Macaca fascicularis: one gene and its partner. The protein of the gene in region 1 binds, or shares a complex with, the protein of each later gene. Links are inferred from orthologs where the notes say so. Each region holds a gene or a part of one and is shown in the gene's direction. Other genes may lie near its edges. The genes, in order: TAF11 and transcription initiation factor TFIID subunit 13.

The links.
Region 2: TAF11 (region 1) and transcription initiation factor TFIID subunit 13 share a complex: the UniProt entries of both Homo sapiens proteins name them as parts of the TFIID basal transcription factor complex. The link is inferred for Macaca fascicularis from reciprocal best matches to the Homo sapiens genes TAF11 and TAF13.

The regions. Positions count from the first base shown.
Region 1 is NC_088378.1:136,811,871-136,819,692, forward strand, and holds the end of TAF11 (transcription initiation factor TFIID subunit 11), read left to right. Parts: intron 1-2,823; coding exon 2,824-2,911; intron 2,912-3,138; coding exon 3,139-3,235; intron 3,236-4,484; coding exon 4,485-4,615; 3' UTR 4,616-5,411; downstream 5,412-7,822. UniProt on the Homo sapiens protein: The TFIID basal transcription factor complex plays a major role in the initiation of RNA polymerase II (Pol II)-dependent transcription.
Region 2 is NC_088375.1:125,371,057-125,379,397, forward strand, and holds the start of transcription initiation factor TFIID subunit 13, read left to right. Parts: upstream 1-2,722; 5' UTR 2,723-2,784; coding exon 2,785-2,811; exon of another isoform or gene 2,812-2,985; coding exon of another isoform or gene 2,986-2,986; intron 2,987-3,573; exon of another isoform or gene 3,574-3,671; coding exon 3,672-3,750; intron 3,751-8,341. UniProt on the Homo sapiens protein: The TFIID basal transcription factor complex plays a major role in the initiation of RNA polymerase II (Pol II)-dependent transcription.

The DNA.
Region 1 (7,822 bases):
TAAATTTTTCTTGGTATTTAAATTTTCTTTTATAAACTCAAAAGAAAATAAAACGATTAATACATTATGGCTGGGCATGGTGGCTCACGCTTATAATCCCAACACTTCAGAAGGCCAAGGTGGGAGGATTTCTTGAGGTCCAAGTTTGAGACCAGCCTGGGCAACATAGTGAAACCCTATCTCTAATGTTATGTTACAGTACGTTACGGTTGTTTTTTTTTTTTGTTTTTTTTTTTTTGGGACAGAGTCTTAATGTGTTGCCCAGGATGGAGTGCAATGGTATGATCTCAGCTCACTGCAGCCTCTGCCTCCTGAGTTCAAACAATTCTCATGCCTCAGCCTCCCGAGTAGCTGGGACTACAGGCATGTACCACCATGCCTGGCTAATTTTTGTATTTTTAGTAGAGACAGGGTTTCACTATATTGGCCAGGCTGGTCTTGAACTCATGACCTCAAGTGATCTGCCCGCCTCAGCCTCCCAAAGTGCTGGGATGACAGGCATGAGCCACTGCGCCTGGCCTCTATTTAAAATTTTTTTTTTTTTTTTTGAGATGGAGTTTCACTCTCATTGCTCAGGCTGGAGTGTAGTGGCAGGATCTCTGCTCACTGCAACCTCCACCTTCCGGTTTCAAGTGATTCTCCTGCCTCAGCCTCCCAGGTAGCTGGGACTACAGGTGCCCGCCACCATGCCTGGCTAATTTTTGTATTTTTAGTGGAGACAGGGTTTCACCATGTTGGCCAGGCTGGTCTCGAACTCGAGACCTCGTGATCCGCCCGCCTTGGCCTCCCAAAGTGCTGGGATTACAGGCCAAAAAATTTTTTTTCAAACAATTATGTTACAGCATAGAAAATATAAATAGATAAAAAGATGTCCGGGAGCGGTGGCTCACACCTGTAATCCCAGCACTTTGGGAGGCTGAGGCGTGGGCGGATCACCTGAGGTCAGGAGTTTGAGACCAGCCTGGCCAAGATGGTGAAACTCCATCTCTACTAAAATTACAAAAAATTAGCCAGGCGTTGTGGTGGGTGCCTGTAGTCCCAGCTACTCGGGAGGCTGAGGTAGGAGAATCACTTGAACCCAGGAGGCAGAGGTTGCAATGAGCCAAGATTGCACTACTGCATTCCAGCCTGGGCAATAGAGCCAGACACTGTCTCAAAAATAAATAAATAAAAATAAATAGATAAGAAGAAAAAAGAATCACCTTACCACAGAGATATATCCTGCTTATGTTAAAAGTTTCAAGATAGTTTCTATACATATATATCTATGAATTGTTTTTTTCACAAATGTCAAATACTGTTTCATAGCCTATTTTTCACATTAGATATGATGAATGTTTTCCATGTCACTAATTATACATCTAGGTCATAGTTTTCTTTTTTTTTTTTTTTTTTTTTTTTGAGGCAGAGTCTCGCTGTGTCGCCCAGGCTGGAGTGCAGTGGCATGATCTCGGCTCACTGCAAGCTCCGCCTCCCGGGTTCACGCCATTCTCCTGCCTCAGCCTCCCGAGTAGCTGGGACTACAGGCGCCCGCCATCACGCCTGGCTAATTTTTTTTTTTTTTTTTGTATTTTTAGTAGAGATGGGGTTTCACTGTGTTAGCCAGGATGGTCTCGATCTCCTGACCTCGTGATCCACCCACCTCGGCCTCCCAAAGTGCTGGGATTACAGGCTTGAGCCACCGCACCCTGCCTAGGTCATAGTTTTCTTAAAAATAGAAATAGCTTTATGACATTTTCTGATTGTAAAAAGTAGTATGGGCTCATTGCAAATAATTCAGAGAATACAGAAAAATAGAAAAAATTACCCATAAACTCACCAGGCAGAGTTCACTCTAAGTATATAGTTGGGTATAGTGTTTGGGTATGTACCTTTTCAAAGTTTTTTTAGATGTTTGATATGTATAGCTAAATATTTTCATGTCAGTAAATTTGCTCATAAATCATAATTTTTAATGGCTACAATCGAATCCCATTATGTTGTTGAACTATAATTTAACCAGTCCCTGTAGTGGTTCTGGTTGGGTATTTGTACTTTTGACATTATGATGAGGATCTTTGGACATATCTTTGCATACTTGTCCATTACTTCCTAAGATAAACTCCTAGAGGTATAATTGCTAATTCAAATAGTATGAACATTTTCAAAGGCTTTTCATATGTATTTCCAAATTTCTCTCCAAAAAGGTGTTGCAGTTCACTCTGCCAGCATGTGTGAGTTTGTGTCCCATATTCTAATACCATTCTTTTTTTAATAGTGGTCTGATTTATGAAAAATGTTATCTATGAAAATAATATTTCCTTAGTTAATAATGTTGTTCCCCCATGTTGGTTGACCATTGGTATTTTTGTAAATTTCCTGTTCATATACTTTGTTCATTTTCAAAAATTGATATGGCCCCTTTATTTGTTTGAAAGAATTATACATTAGGAGTATTACCTGTTTCCACATATTTTGCAGATATTTCTCCTAAATCTGTTAATGTTGAAAACTACTGGTTTGATCATAAATTTGTATATTAAACACCATCAGTGTGAAATTCAGTAAGGTAGAGTCTAACGCTGAAAACACAGTCTGTATAGTAGGATACAGTGACCCAATGTTGTTCTTTTTGTTCACAGGTAAGAAAAGAAGTTTTTATTTTATGTTTTCTCAAATTCCTTTGGAGTAGAAGTATTTTATCTTCATTCCTCAAGGCACCAAGCCTAATGCTATTGACCCCTTAAGAATTCATTTTTGAATTGTCTGAGACTTTTATTGACTTAATAATATCTTTAGTATTCATTCTTACAAGTTAACTTAGTTACCTGGATCTTTGTTTAGAATCCTGGTTTCTTCTTTTTCTGAGGAGCAGCTGAACCGTTACGAAATGTATCGCCGCTCAGCTTTCCCTAAGGCAGCCATCAAAAGGGTAAGGATAGACCACCACACTTCATCTCCATCATGTTTTAGAACTGAACCCAAGGGCCATGTCCATTGGCATTTGAAGTGAGGTGTTAGACAAGTCAGTGGATTATTTAAGTGGGGAAAAAAAAATGCACCTCAGTTATCTTACCTTTTTCTGTGAATTATTTGGTACTGTGTTCCAAAGCCAGTCTTTGACTATTGTAGTCACGGAGTCTTTCTCCTTCTTTCAAGCTGATCCAGTCCATCACTGGCACCTCTGTGTCTCAGAATGTTGTTATTGCTATGTCTGGTATTTCCAAGGTTTTCGTCGGGGAGGTGGTAGAAGAAGGTGAGTAGTGTTGGTTACAAATACTGCGGTGGTCTTATTTTTAAGAATATCTATACAAAGGAGCTTATTAAAGCACCTGTGGGAGTTCTCATTTGCATTTGAAGTTGAGCAAGTGGGGAACCCTGTATTCAGGAGAAATGACCATTATTCCTTGCAAGTTTCAATAACAGATGGCAAGGAACCATCTGGGACTCCCCTCCCTGATTCCTTTCCTCAGCCCAGGGTGACAGAAGTAGACTTTGTATTTTCTGCAGTGGACTTTGCTCATTTCTGCTGCCAAAAGTAAAGATACAAGAAAAGCAATCACAGGGCTGACCTGTGTGGGATGGTGAGTTGTCCCTAATGTTGTGCTCCCTGGGAACTGCCTGCCCCCTTTATTGAGTAAAAAGCCTGGCTGTTTCCCATTGCTACTCTGACTGGTGAAATCTTTTTTTTTTTTTAATTTATTTTTTTAAGCAGGAGATAGATACTTTTAAATTATTATTATTTTTTGAGACAGGGTCTCGCTCTGTCGCCCAGGCTGGAGTGCAGTGGCGTGATCTTTATTTTTTCTTTTAATATTTTTTATGTTTCCTTTTACAAATCACAAATTTAGATGGTGTACAAAATGAGATGGTAACAGTGGTGTGACCATAGCTCACTACCACCTCAAACTCCTAGGCTCAAAGGATCCTCCTGCCTCAGCCTCCCAAGTAGCTGGGACCATAGGCATGCACTACCACACCTGGCTAATTTTTATTTTTATATAGTTATTTGAGACAGGGTCTCACTCTGTCACCCAGGCTAGAGTGCCTTGATCATGCGATCACAGCTTACTGCAACAGTGAGCTCCTGGGCTCGGGTGATTCTCCTGCCTCAGCCTGAGTAGTTGAGACCACAGGTGTGCACCACCACCCCTGGCTAATTTTTAAATTTTTTTGTAGAGACAAGGTTTTGCCATGTTGCCCAGGTTGGTCTCAAACTCCTGGGCTCAAGCAATCCTCCTACCTTGGCCTCCCTAACTGCTGGGATTACAGACATGAGCCACAGCATATGGCCTATAGGAAATATATTTTAAACTGTTGTCTATGATAAAGCCTGTTATGAGATGTTATACTAAAAAAAAATCTTCTCTTAAAAAGGAAAAATGTTTTGGTTTATTTCCTTAGCAAGCTTAAGAAAAGTTAACGAGAATTACAGGACTCAAAAGGATTATGTGATTAGTAAATTATTGTATGATAATCAGACTTTCTCCTTACCCTCTGTTTAGCACTGGATGTATGTGAGAAGTGGGGAGAAATGCCACCACTACAACCCAAACATATGAGGGAAGCCGTTAGAAGGTTAAAGTCAAAGGGACAGATCCCTAACTCGAAGCACAAAAAAATCATCTTCTTCTAGACCAAAGTCTAGAAAGGCCTGTATTACTGATGGAAGAAGTATTGGTTCCAGACTTCCTAGAAGACTGTCTGCACTGGTGCTTTAGTATCTCAGGCCTCCAAGGATTTCATGATGATTTTAACATCTTTCTCAAAACTCTGATATTTGTCACACCTAGAAAGTATGTAGCCTGATTGATACTTGCCTTGACTAAATTTTGGGACCTCTTGGGGGCATTTTGAAGTATTTAACTGTCTTGGCCAGTTGGAAGAAGATGTATGGGCCGTAGGCATCTTCTGGACAGGAGAACTGCTTTCAGAGAGAAAACCTTTCCAAGAGAGTTTTGTTTTGTTTGAGATAGGGTCTTGCTCTGTCACCTAGGCTGGAGTTCAGCGGCATGACTACAGCCTTGAATTCCTGGACTTAAGTGACCCTCCCGTCTCAGTCTCCTGAGTAGCTAAGACTGCAGGCACGCACTACTGTGCCCAGCTAACTTATTTTTATTTTTTTATGGAGATGGGGTCTTGCTTTGTTGCCCAGGCTGGTCGTGAACTCCTGGCTTCAAGCAATCCTCCTGCCTCAGCCTCCTAAAGTGTCGAGGGCTTTAATGGTTTCACATTGAAGTCTGAAGTTGCTAAGACTCAGGTTGTTTCTTACATCTGATTTTAAGTAGATGAAACAACCAGAAACTTACTTGTGATACTCTGCCATGAAGGATGCGGCGATGGCAGGAATAATGGAATAATTGGTGCTTGTAAATATTTAAGATTCTCCTGTGGATTCTGGTGAGTGATCATTAAACTGTTTTCCAACTTGCCCTAGGTGTATTCATTTTCTGTCTAGCTGGTTGGAATGGGAAGTTGATCATTCTTTTTTGGTGTTCCAATACAACTGGTTTTGGCTATTTTGTGGAAATTTGAGCCCTTTTTCTAGTAGAACCATTAAAATTTTATCTCATAAAAGAGTACTTCAAGCACTGTTAAAAACAGTGTAATAATCTTCTCCCCCAAGAGTGAAACGAAAATAAACAATATAAAAGCCCATATATTTCAGATTCTTATCAACAGATACACGACAACCATTATGGTTTAATACATTTAATTTGTTTTTTCAGGTGGTTCACAGAACCAGTACACTCAAGGTTTGACTAGATATTGCAACATTAATATTTCCCAATACTGACCAGGATTCTAGTTCATCAGATACATTCTCATTGTTTTCCTCAAATAGAGGTGAATGAAGTGACCTTTTCTGACAGTGATTAGCAGTAATAAGGCTACGATATGTAATTGGCAATCCCCAAGAATTCTTTCCTCTCTACCATTCAGTGTCATAGGGAGAAGGATTTTGAAGCTGTTCTCTTGTGAAGCTTTCCTGAGCATGTCTTAGTAAAGATTCTAATTCTGTTTAGCACCCTCAGTGGGGGAAGCAGAATTAGATACTAAAAGTGTCTTACATTAAAACCCATGGCTTTAAACATGTACTTAGCCAATGGAGAAGACACTTCAGTGGGGCATTCCACAAAGAAATGCTTTAAGACTCAGGCTACATCTTGAACAAAAATTAATAAACAAAAAAGATACTCTCTCAGCTCTAACAGGAATTTTTTTAGAAGTCGTAGGAACTGTATCTATGGCAGTTAGAGATACTGAATAAGGCTGAAACTTAATAAATACAAGTGAGGAAGATCAAATCCCAAGTCTGGCCACTTAGCAAAGCCTCACTGTTAAAGGTTATCCAGGAGTGTTTCCCCTTGTGCCATGGGGAAGATAATCCCCATTCAATAGCCACTACCTATACCTACCCAGAGGGGCACGGGAATACTCCTATTCTGACAGAAGGTAGGGGAGCAACTAGGTAAAAGCCTTAGTCTCTGAAAGGATAGTGCTTCACACCAGATTCTCTCCGAAACCCTTAGTAATGACTATGACAAATCATGAGGCAATGACACACCTTTTACTGTTCTCAGATCACAAGATGTCATCGAACTAACTTGTGTACCAAAAGTTCAGTTGTTTTCATAGTTTTATGATCTTACTATAACTGATTTCAGAAGTTTAGGCAAATATTAAATAAGAGAGAAAAAAAAAAGCGAGGGTAAAGGTTTGGAATGAAAAGTTCCCATATTACTATGGCAATATTTCAAACTACCTTCTTTCCACTACCACCCATCCCCCAACCCCTGTTTACCACTGAGGGGAAAGTAATCTGAGTCACATGGAAGCATTTAAGTTACAGGGGTATGTGAGGGGTGGTGGTTATCCCTTGGATATTCCATACACGGGAGCCATTCCTTTCAGAACCATAAAAAGCAGACATAAAGGTTGAGGCCCATGGCAAAATGAGGTTCAGATGAAATATATGGTAAAGAGCAGCCATCATGTGAATAGAACCCACCTGTTTTATATCAGGAAAACCAGGTTAATTATTCCAGTGAGTTGAAAACACAATTTGATAGCCTTCCTTGCAGCCCAGTTAAAGAAAAGATTTAAACTCTAGTCCATACACACTAAAGCATATCCCCAGCACATGCATGTAAACAGGAAATGTAGACATCACAGATAATACATAGTTGTAAATGCTTCACAGCTGAACTGGTAATGTGCAGTGGCTGAAGTCTTTGAGGGACAGTGGTGCTCTCTCTCCAAACATTTTCTTGAGGTATTGTTATTTCTTGTTCCAAGTCTTGTAGCTCTAAGGCAGAAATCATAAGCAGTCCAAAAGGGCTGACACTGCTTTTTCCTTGCATATTTTCCTTTATACTTATCCTGAGGACTACCACCACTTCACATTTCTTCATTATGAACAGGAACATGAAATTAGGCAAGCTGATTTTTACTAAAATCCCATGGGATAATAACCCCTATCACATTTCCTGAGGGAGAATTTCAAGACACAATGGCCAAAGCTGCCACATAAGGAAAGCCAGAAATTCTAAGACTCCATTTGTCACATGGACAAGAGCTCTGGACTCCTTTAGAGAGCCAGAGACGTAACTGAGCTCCAGCCATTAAGAGGTTGGCCTTGGTACTTAACTGGATATGTTTTTACTCCCTGCCCACAAGCACAAGTGTAGGTACAAGTATACCAAGAAATGCCTATTTGACATTTTCTTTGCATGGAGGGATGCCAGAGGTATATGCTGGGTGAGGGGAGGAAAGGATAAGAGAATCAGAATATGATTTTAAACCAATTCAGGTGAGCCTAAGATGGAATAATTATATTTTC
Region 2 (8,341 bases), on another chromosome or scaffold:
CCCACATTGCTGACCCACAGAAACTGTGTGATAAATATTTGTTGTAAGTCACTAAGTTTTGGGGTGATTTGTTATACAACAATAAATAACTAATATATCTACCTACTCACATAATTTTGAAAATAACATAATACCGTAACAGGATCCAGTGATCCAGTGTCCAGGAGGTCAGGCATAAAGGTAATATAAAGTAAAGTAAAAATAGTAACATATGTTTCTTTTTCTTTTTTTTTTTTTTTTGAGATGGAGTCTCATACTGTCGCCCAGGCTGGAGTGCAGTGGCAGGACCTCTGCTCACTACAAGCTTCGCCTCCTGGGTTCACACCATTCTCCTGCCTCAGCTTCTCCAGTAGCTGGGACTACAGGCGCCCACCACCACGCCCAGCTAATTTTTGTTGTATTTTTTAGTAGAGACAGGGTTTCACTCTGTTGGCCAGGTTGGTCTCAAACTGTATCAGGTGATCCGCCCGCCTCGGCCTCCCAAAGTGCCGGGATTACATGTGTGAGCCAGCGCGCCCAGCCAACATATGTTTCAATATATAAACACTCGAGCACTAGGGGGTATAATGAAGATTTCAGATGCTTGTACCTATATGTAGAATTACTTTGAATGCAGACTGATTTGAGTGAGTATTGTCGACCTAAAAGGAAGAAGCTGAGGCAAAATTAATATAAATAGAGAGTTTATTTGGGCCAGACTTGAGGATTGCAACTCAGCAGCATAAAGTGGCCCGGAATACACTCTAAGATTAGCAGCAGGTACAAGTGGATTTTTAACGGAAAAGAATGAGGACGGGGAGTGGGCTGACACAAAGTTGTCCTTAAGGAATTCTCATTGGTTTACAAAAATAACATTATCAAGCTATAGGGTGTGGGATATAGTGTCTGGTGGGGCATAATTAGGCTAATTTATAACTAATACTTGTGGAATGGCAAGCAGTTTTAAGACATAAATACATAGCTCAAAAGGGGGCAAGTAGGATGTGATTGCCTCTCATTTTAATGCCTCTCAGGGCCTAATAATTTAACTCACTTTCCTCAAATCAAAGTTCTTTTTTCAGTATTCACTATTCAAATTATTACAAGTGATGTTGCTTTTGGTGACGTTATTTCTTGAAATGGTACACAACTCTTAATGAATTCCAAACAAAACAATACAATTACTATTCAATTTTGGGGCAATAACATTCCTAGAAAATTCAACGTACATTAAAAGTGTGGGAAAATGCTTTGTGTGTGTGTGTGTGTTTTTTTTTTTTTTTTTTTTTTTTTTTTTTTTTTTGAGACGGAGTCTCGCTCTGTAGCCCAGTCTGGAGTGCAGTGGCCGGATCTCAGCTCACTGCAAGCTCCGCCTCCCGGGTTCACGCCATTCTCCTGCCTCAGCCTCCCGAGTAGCTGGGACTACAGGCGCCCGCCACCTCGCCCGGCTAGTTTTTTGTATTTCTTAGTAGAGACGGGGTTTCACCGTGTTATCCAGGATGGTCTCGATCTCCTGACCTCGTGATCCACCCGTCTCGGCCTCCCAAAGTGCTGGGATTACAGGCTTGAGCCACCGCGCCCAGCCGCTTTGTGTTTATTAACAAAGATAGGTTCAAGCCTCACATAACTACTTTTCACTCACCGAATGTTCAGCAGGACATTCAGAAATCGTGTGTATTGCGGGATTTTCTTTATGTAGCATCATCTGTTACACTGTAGGACACATATTTTATATCCCTAGCTCTGGCCTTCCAATGCCTGTGGTTTTCCCAACCATTGTTCCGACCAAAAGCCTTCCCCAATGGACACGGTGGCTCACACTTGTAATCCCAGCACTTTGGGAGGCCGAGGGGGGCAGATCGCTTGAGATCAAGAGTTCCAGACCAGCCTGGGTGATGTGGCGAAACCCCATATCTACTAAAAATACAAAAATTAGCCGAGCATAGGTGGTGTGTGCCTGTAATCCCAGCTACTTGGAGGCTGAGGTGGGAGGATGGCTTGAGCCCAGCAGGTCTAAGCTGCAGTGAACCCGGATTGTGCCACTTCACTCCAGCCTGGGGGACAGTGAGGCTGCGTCTCAAAAAAAAAAAAAAAAAACCAAAAATGAGGCCGGGCATGGTGGTGCACGCCTGTAATCCCAGCTACTCGGGAGGCTGAGGCAGAAGAATCGCTTGAACCCGATAGGCGGACGTTGCAGTGGGCCGGGATTTCGCCACCGCACACTCCAGCCTGGGCGACAGAGTGAGACTTGGTCTCAAAAAAAAAAAAAAAAAAAAAAAACACACACACACAAAAACAAACCTTCACAAAATTTTAAATGCTTAGTTTTGGGACACCATCTCTTGGAAATTTGTGGTGAAGCACAGTATCCCCAGTAATTAACATAGTGCTTAGAAACAGTGGAACCACAACTCTTTAAAATGATTTAAAAGCATTTATGTCAGATAAAGGACCGCTGGCTAGCCCTCCTACGATCCATAGCTTCGCAGTCCCCAAACAGGAAGGCGTGATTCAATGCGCAGTAGCAAATTTAGGGTGACAACGAGATACATCCCACGGAGCCCGTGATTTCCTTTTCTTTGTTAGTTTTCAATTCCTTCAGTGTTACAGGGAGGAGCTCCGGCCTCCTCCGCTAAAGACTGTCGCATTTCCGCCGCTAGGCCGGAAAGCACCACCGTCCTTCCGCAGGCCTCAGTCAGCTAGGCCCAGCTCCAGCCCCGCCCGTCACCGGAAGTGAGGCGACGGAAGTAGCGTAACCCGCTGAGAACCAGCCGGCGGGGCGCTGTGGGTTGGCGGGCTAGTGGGATGGCAGATGAGGAAGAAGACCCCACCGTGAGTGACCGTCTGTGTCCAGAACCTCTCTTTTCTTCACTCCTTCGGGCTCAGTAGCGGAGGCAGAGTTCAGGATCGGATCTGCTTGCCTTAGTCAATTCAGCCGACAGAATTCGGGGACTTCACTCCCTAAGGATTGATCATTTTAGAAAGTGGGGAAGGACATGAAGAAAGAGTAGGTTTTGTGACCCCTTTCCCCTTGATTTTGATCTTTATTTGCCAGACACTGAAACACTTACAGAATCATCAGACGTCAAAACTAACATCTATTAGCGCTCACTATGAACCAACAGTTCAATTGTTAACAAAACTGTACTTACTGTGAAGTAATGGGAAAAGAATGCATTGAAAGTCAGACAGCCTGGATTTCAAAATCTCCATTCTCTCTAAGCAAGTTATTTAACTTTGACAATCAGTTTTCTTGTTACAAAATAGGGTTACGGGCTTACTTAAGGAACGTTTTTAGCACCGTATATGCAAATGCTTAGTAAATATTAGTTTTGCTTAATTGAAAGTCTACAAAGGTAGACTTTGATTCAGTATCAACTGTTTAACAGTAGCAATAGGCCACCTTAGTTGTTTAAAAATAAAACCTATGGTCATTGTAACTCTTACACGTAGAAGCAGTAGGATTATTTGTTAGGAACATTGTAGAAGCCATTTTTGGATGAGTTGGAAATTGGACTCGATACCTAGGCTGCTTACGTGCTAAGGTTTTGTGTTTTTTTTTTTTTTTTTTTTTTTTTTTTCTGCTTCCTTTAGGCTTTCTGGCCTATCTGTTGAAAAGGAAAAAACATTGTTATTATTAAAATATCAAATGCAAGGCAATTATTTGACATTTCTATATATACGTTTTCTAGTTTGAGGAAGAAAATGAAGAAATTGGAGGAGGTGCAGAAGGTGGACAGGGTAAAAGAAAGAGGCTTTTTTCTAAAGAATGTAAGTAGTATTTGACAATGATTTTGTTATAGATGATGAAAACTTTTGGACATATCCTTTCCAAGTACATTTATTGCTTTGAATGTTTCCCTGTAGTGACAATATTCTCAGACTAGCCTATCAAATTCTGTTTAGCTTTTGAATCAGATAGTACCAATCCTAACCCCAGTTATATGTGTGTGTATGTGTGTCTGTGTATAAATTGCTTTTTAGGTGAGCAAATGTAGTTCGTGTTTTAATTTAGGGCAGAAGAACATACCTCCATTAGTTTTCCTCTTGCCTTTGCAGCAGTAGAAAGAGAGGCTTCTTTGACTGTAAGCCACAGATACTAATGGATCCTGCACCAGGTGTTGAGGGAGAGTAGCAAGTGAGTTGGGGCTTGGGCTTTGGACTAAGGCTATGAACAAAGTAAGAAGGTGGTGAACAGCTGGGTGTAGTGGCTCACGCCTGTAATCCGAGCACTTTGGGAGGCTGAGGCAGGTGGATCACTGGAGGTCAGGAGTTTGAGACCAGCCTGGCCAATGTGATGAAACCCCATCTCTACTAAAAATACAAAAATTAGCCAGACGTGCTCGCTTGAACTCAGGAGGGAGAAGTTGCAGTGAGCCAAGATTATGCCACTGCACTCCAGCCTGGGTAACACAGCAAGACTCTGTCTCAAAAAAAAAGAAGAAGGTGGTGAATAGTGTAAGACATTAGAGTGACATGGAGGCTAGATGCAGTGGCTCACGTCTGTAATCCCAGCACTTTGGGAGGTCAAGGCAAGCAGATCGCTTGAGCCCAGGAGGTCAAGACCAGTCTGGGCGACATAGTGAAACCCTCTCTCTACAAAAAATACAAAAATTAGTAGGGCATGGTGGCACGCCCCTGTAGTTCCAGCTACTCTGGAGGCTGAGGTGAGAGGATGGCTTGGGCCCAGGAGGTGGAGGTTGCAGTAAACCCAGATTGCGCCACTGCACTCCAGCCTTGGTGACGGAACCAGACCCTGTGTCCAAAATAAATAAATAAATAAGCAAAATAAATAATGACATGGAGATTATAATGTATTGATTCTGCATCCTACCCCCTCAGTAGATGCTTTTGACCCTTTTTGGCAACAAGAGGAAGGGAGAGCTGCTGCTACTACTGATGGTACAGGCCAAGCCCTGGAACACAGCATGAGAATGTGCTCTCCATCTCCAGTCCTGGGTCCTTTATGTAAAGTTATATCTAAGTATTGAGAGATGAGGCAACACAGATTTATGAATATGGTTTATTTAGGCGGGGTTATATGTGAGCAGTTCCCAAATGCCCTTGAAACTACAGGGTCAGTATATCTTTTTTTTTTTTTTGCAATTAACTGGGCATGGTGGCGTGTACCTATAGCCCCAGCTATTCAGGAGGCTGAGGTGGGAGGATCACTTGTGCCCAGGAGTTCAAGGTTGCAGTGAGCTGTGATCATGCCACTGTACTCTAGCCCCAGTGATAGAAGAGTGAGACCCTGTCTCGCCACCAGCCCCAGCTAATTTTTTGTATTTTTAGTAGAAACGGGTTTCCCCATGTCAGCCAGGGTGGTCTCAAACTCATGACCCAGATGATCTGCCTAACTCGGCCTCCCAAAGTGCTGGGATTACAGGCCTGAGCCACCATGACCAGCCATACCCAGCTAATTTTTGTATTTTCAGTAGAGACTAGTTACACCATGTTGGCCAGGCTGGTCTCAAACTCCTACCCTCAAGTGATCCTCCTGCCTCAGCCTCCCAAACTGCTGGGGTTACAGGCATGAGCCACCACATCCAGCCAGACACTCTTATTTTTTAACCATCCAAATCCTTTTCCATATTTCGTTTCCTCACTAAAGCTGAACATTTCTTATTTCATTTCTCTGATGCTCCTTATACCATTATGTGGTTTTACTTATTATATCAGCATAAGAATGGGATCCTTGTACCAGAGCATCCCAGAGTGATGTTCAGTTGGTTGTTAGCAAAGACCTTTTTTCCAGTGAGATTAGTTTGTGATGACAGGAATTTGGAATCTTCAGGCTTCTCCTTATCTTAACTGAATATTCATAGAGGTTACTGACGAAAGATCTGTTTCGTGAACCTTAAAAAAAAAAAAATTTGCAGGAGACTAGGTACAGTGGCTCATGCCAGTAATCCCAGCACTTTGGGAGGCCAAGGTGGGAGGATCACTTGAGGTCGGGAGTTCAAGACCAGTCTGGCCAACATGGCAAAACCCCGTCTCTAATAAAAATACAAATTTAGCTGGGTGTGGTGATGCGTGCCTGTAACTCCACTACTCGAGGGCCGGACACGGTAGCTCATGCCTGTAATCCCAGCACTTTGGGAGGCTGAGGTGGGTGGATCATGAGGTCAGGAGATCGAGACCATCCTGGCTAACACAGCAAAACCCCGTCCCTGCTAAAAATACAAAAAATTAGCTGGATGTGGTGGCACATGCCTGTAGCCCCACCTACTTGGGAGGCTGAGGCAGGAGAATTGCTTGCATCCAGGAGACAGAGGTTGCAGTGAGCCAAGATGGCGCGCTGCGCTCCAGCCTGGGTGACAGAGCAAGACTGCCTCTCAAAAAAAAAAAAATTCCAGCTACTTGTGAGGCTGAGGCTGGAGAGTCACTGGAACCTGGGAGGCAGAGGTTGCAATAGGCCTATAGAATTTCAAAGCATTATCTGGCATTTGTTTATGCCTTTATAGACCCTTTAGCCAAATACAGTTTACATACTTCCCATATAATAAGTTTCCCTTTTCCAGTGAAATATATTTTCTGTCTGGTGAATTCTGCCCATCAAAATGTTAGTGACAAAGTATCTTCCTCGAAATATTTAAACAAAAACAGTAAACTTACAATGGAGAATTCTGGAAGACACCATGTTAATCAAGTGATCAAAGCATCACTAATAATATACAGTATATTGACATTATATACCCCTGATATGATGCATTAAGAGGACACATCACCTTGGTGTTCTTCCTGGTAATGTCAAACTTCAATCTAACGAGGAAACATCAAAGAAACCCAAATTGAGGGATAGTCTACAAGATAACTGACCAATATTCTTCAAAAGTGTCAAGGTTTTTTGTAAACAATGGTTTCATTTAAAAAAAAGGTATCAAGGTTTTGAAAGATGAAAAAGTCGAACTGTCAGAGAATAGAGGGAACTAAGGAGACATGACAACTAAATGGTATGGGAACCTGAAACAAAAAGGACATTGGTGGAAAAACTCGTAAAATCTGAATAAAGTCTGTACTTGTACCGATGTTAATTTCTTAGCTTTGATGACTCCCTATGGTTGTATAACATGTTAACATAAGGGGAAGCTGAATATAGGGCATATGGGAACTGTGTACTATTTTTGCAACTCAGCTGTAAATCTAAAATTATCTTTTTTTAAAAAAAAAAGGCAAAAAAGTACGGAATCCAAAACAGAAAGATAAAAACTATTGGCTCCTGTGTTTGTTTTTTTCCTCCTGTTTCTGGACCTAAAGACTCTTGCCAGTGTAAACCCTAGGGACATGTCTATCTCAGGCTGGTTTCCAAGTCACCCTTTTCTTCTGTAGGCCTGGCCTACTTTCTTCTCTTTGTACTTCTACTAGTTTTTACTTCTTCTAAATAGAGGAATTATTCTTAATTTACTCATTTCTTCCTTTAGAAGTATTCTACAAGTACCTTTTTTTTTTTTTTTTTTTGAGACGGAGTCTCGCTCTGTCGCCCAGGCTGGAGTGCAGTGGCGCGATCTGGGCTCACTACAAGCTCCACCTCCCAGGTTCACGCCATTCTCCTGCCTCAGCCTCCCGAGTAGCTGGGACTACAGGCGCCTGCCACCATGCCCAGCTAATGTTTTGTATTTTTAGTAGAGACAGGGTTTCACCGTGTTAGCCAGGATGGTCTCCATCTCCTGACCTCGTGATCCGCCCGCCTCCGCCTCCCAAAGTGCTGGGATTACAGGCGTGAGCTACTGCGCCTGGCAGTATGTTTTTTTTTAAAAAAAGAACTTAGATACAATAAGTTGTGCAAGTCTTAAGTTAACAGCTTGCTGAATTTTATGTATACTATACAGTCGGCCCTCTATATCCATGGGTTCTGCATCCATGGATTCAACCAACCTCAGATGGAAAATATTCAGAAAAAAAAAACTGCGTCTGTATTGAATATGTGCAGACTTTTTTTCCTGGTCATTATTCTCTAAACAATATAATATAGCAACTATTTACATAGCATTTGCATTGTATTAGGTATTGTAAGTAACCTGGAGATGATTTAAAATATAGATAGGAGATGATTTAAAATAAAATATAGATGTTTAGGTTGTATGCAAACACTATGCCATTTTATATCTGGGATTTGAGCATCTGAAGATTTTAGTATCCACGGGAGGTCCTGGAACCAAGCTCCCAAGGATACTAAGGGGTAACTGTATACACGTGCACACACACACACACTCACACACTTGTACGCACTACTAAGATCAAGATAATAAAAGACTTGCAGCATTTGACAGAGTTTCTTACCATTTACATATACCCCTTTGAGAATCTGATGAGAGTTATAATTATTCCCAGAAAAATGCCCATGTACAGGTAATGTATAACA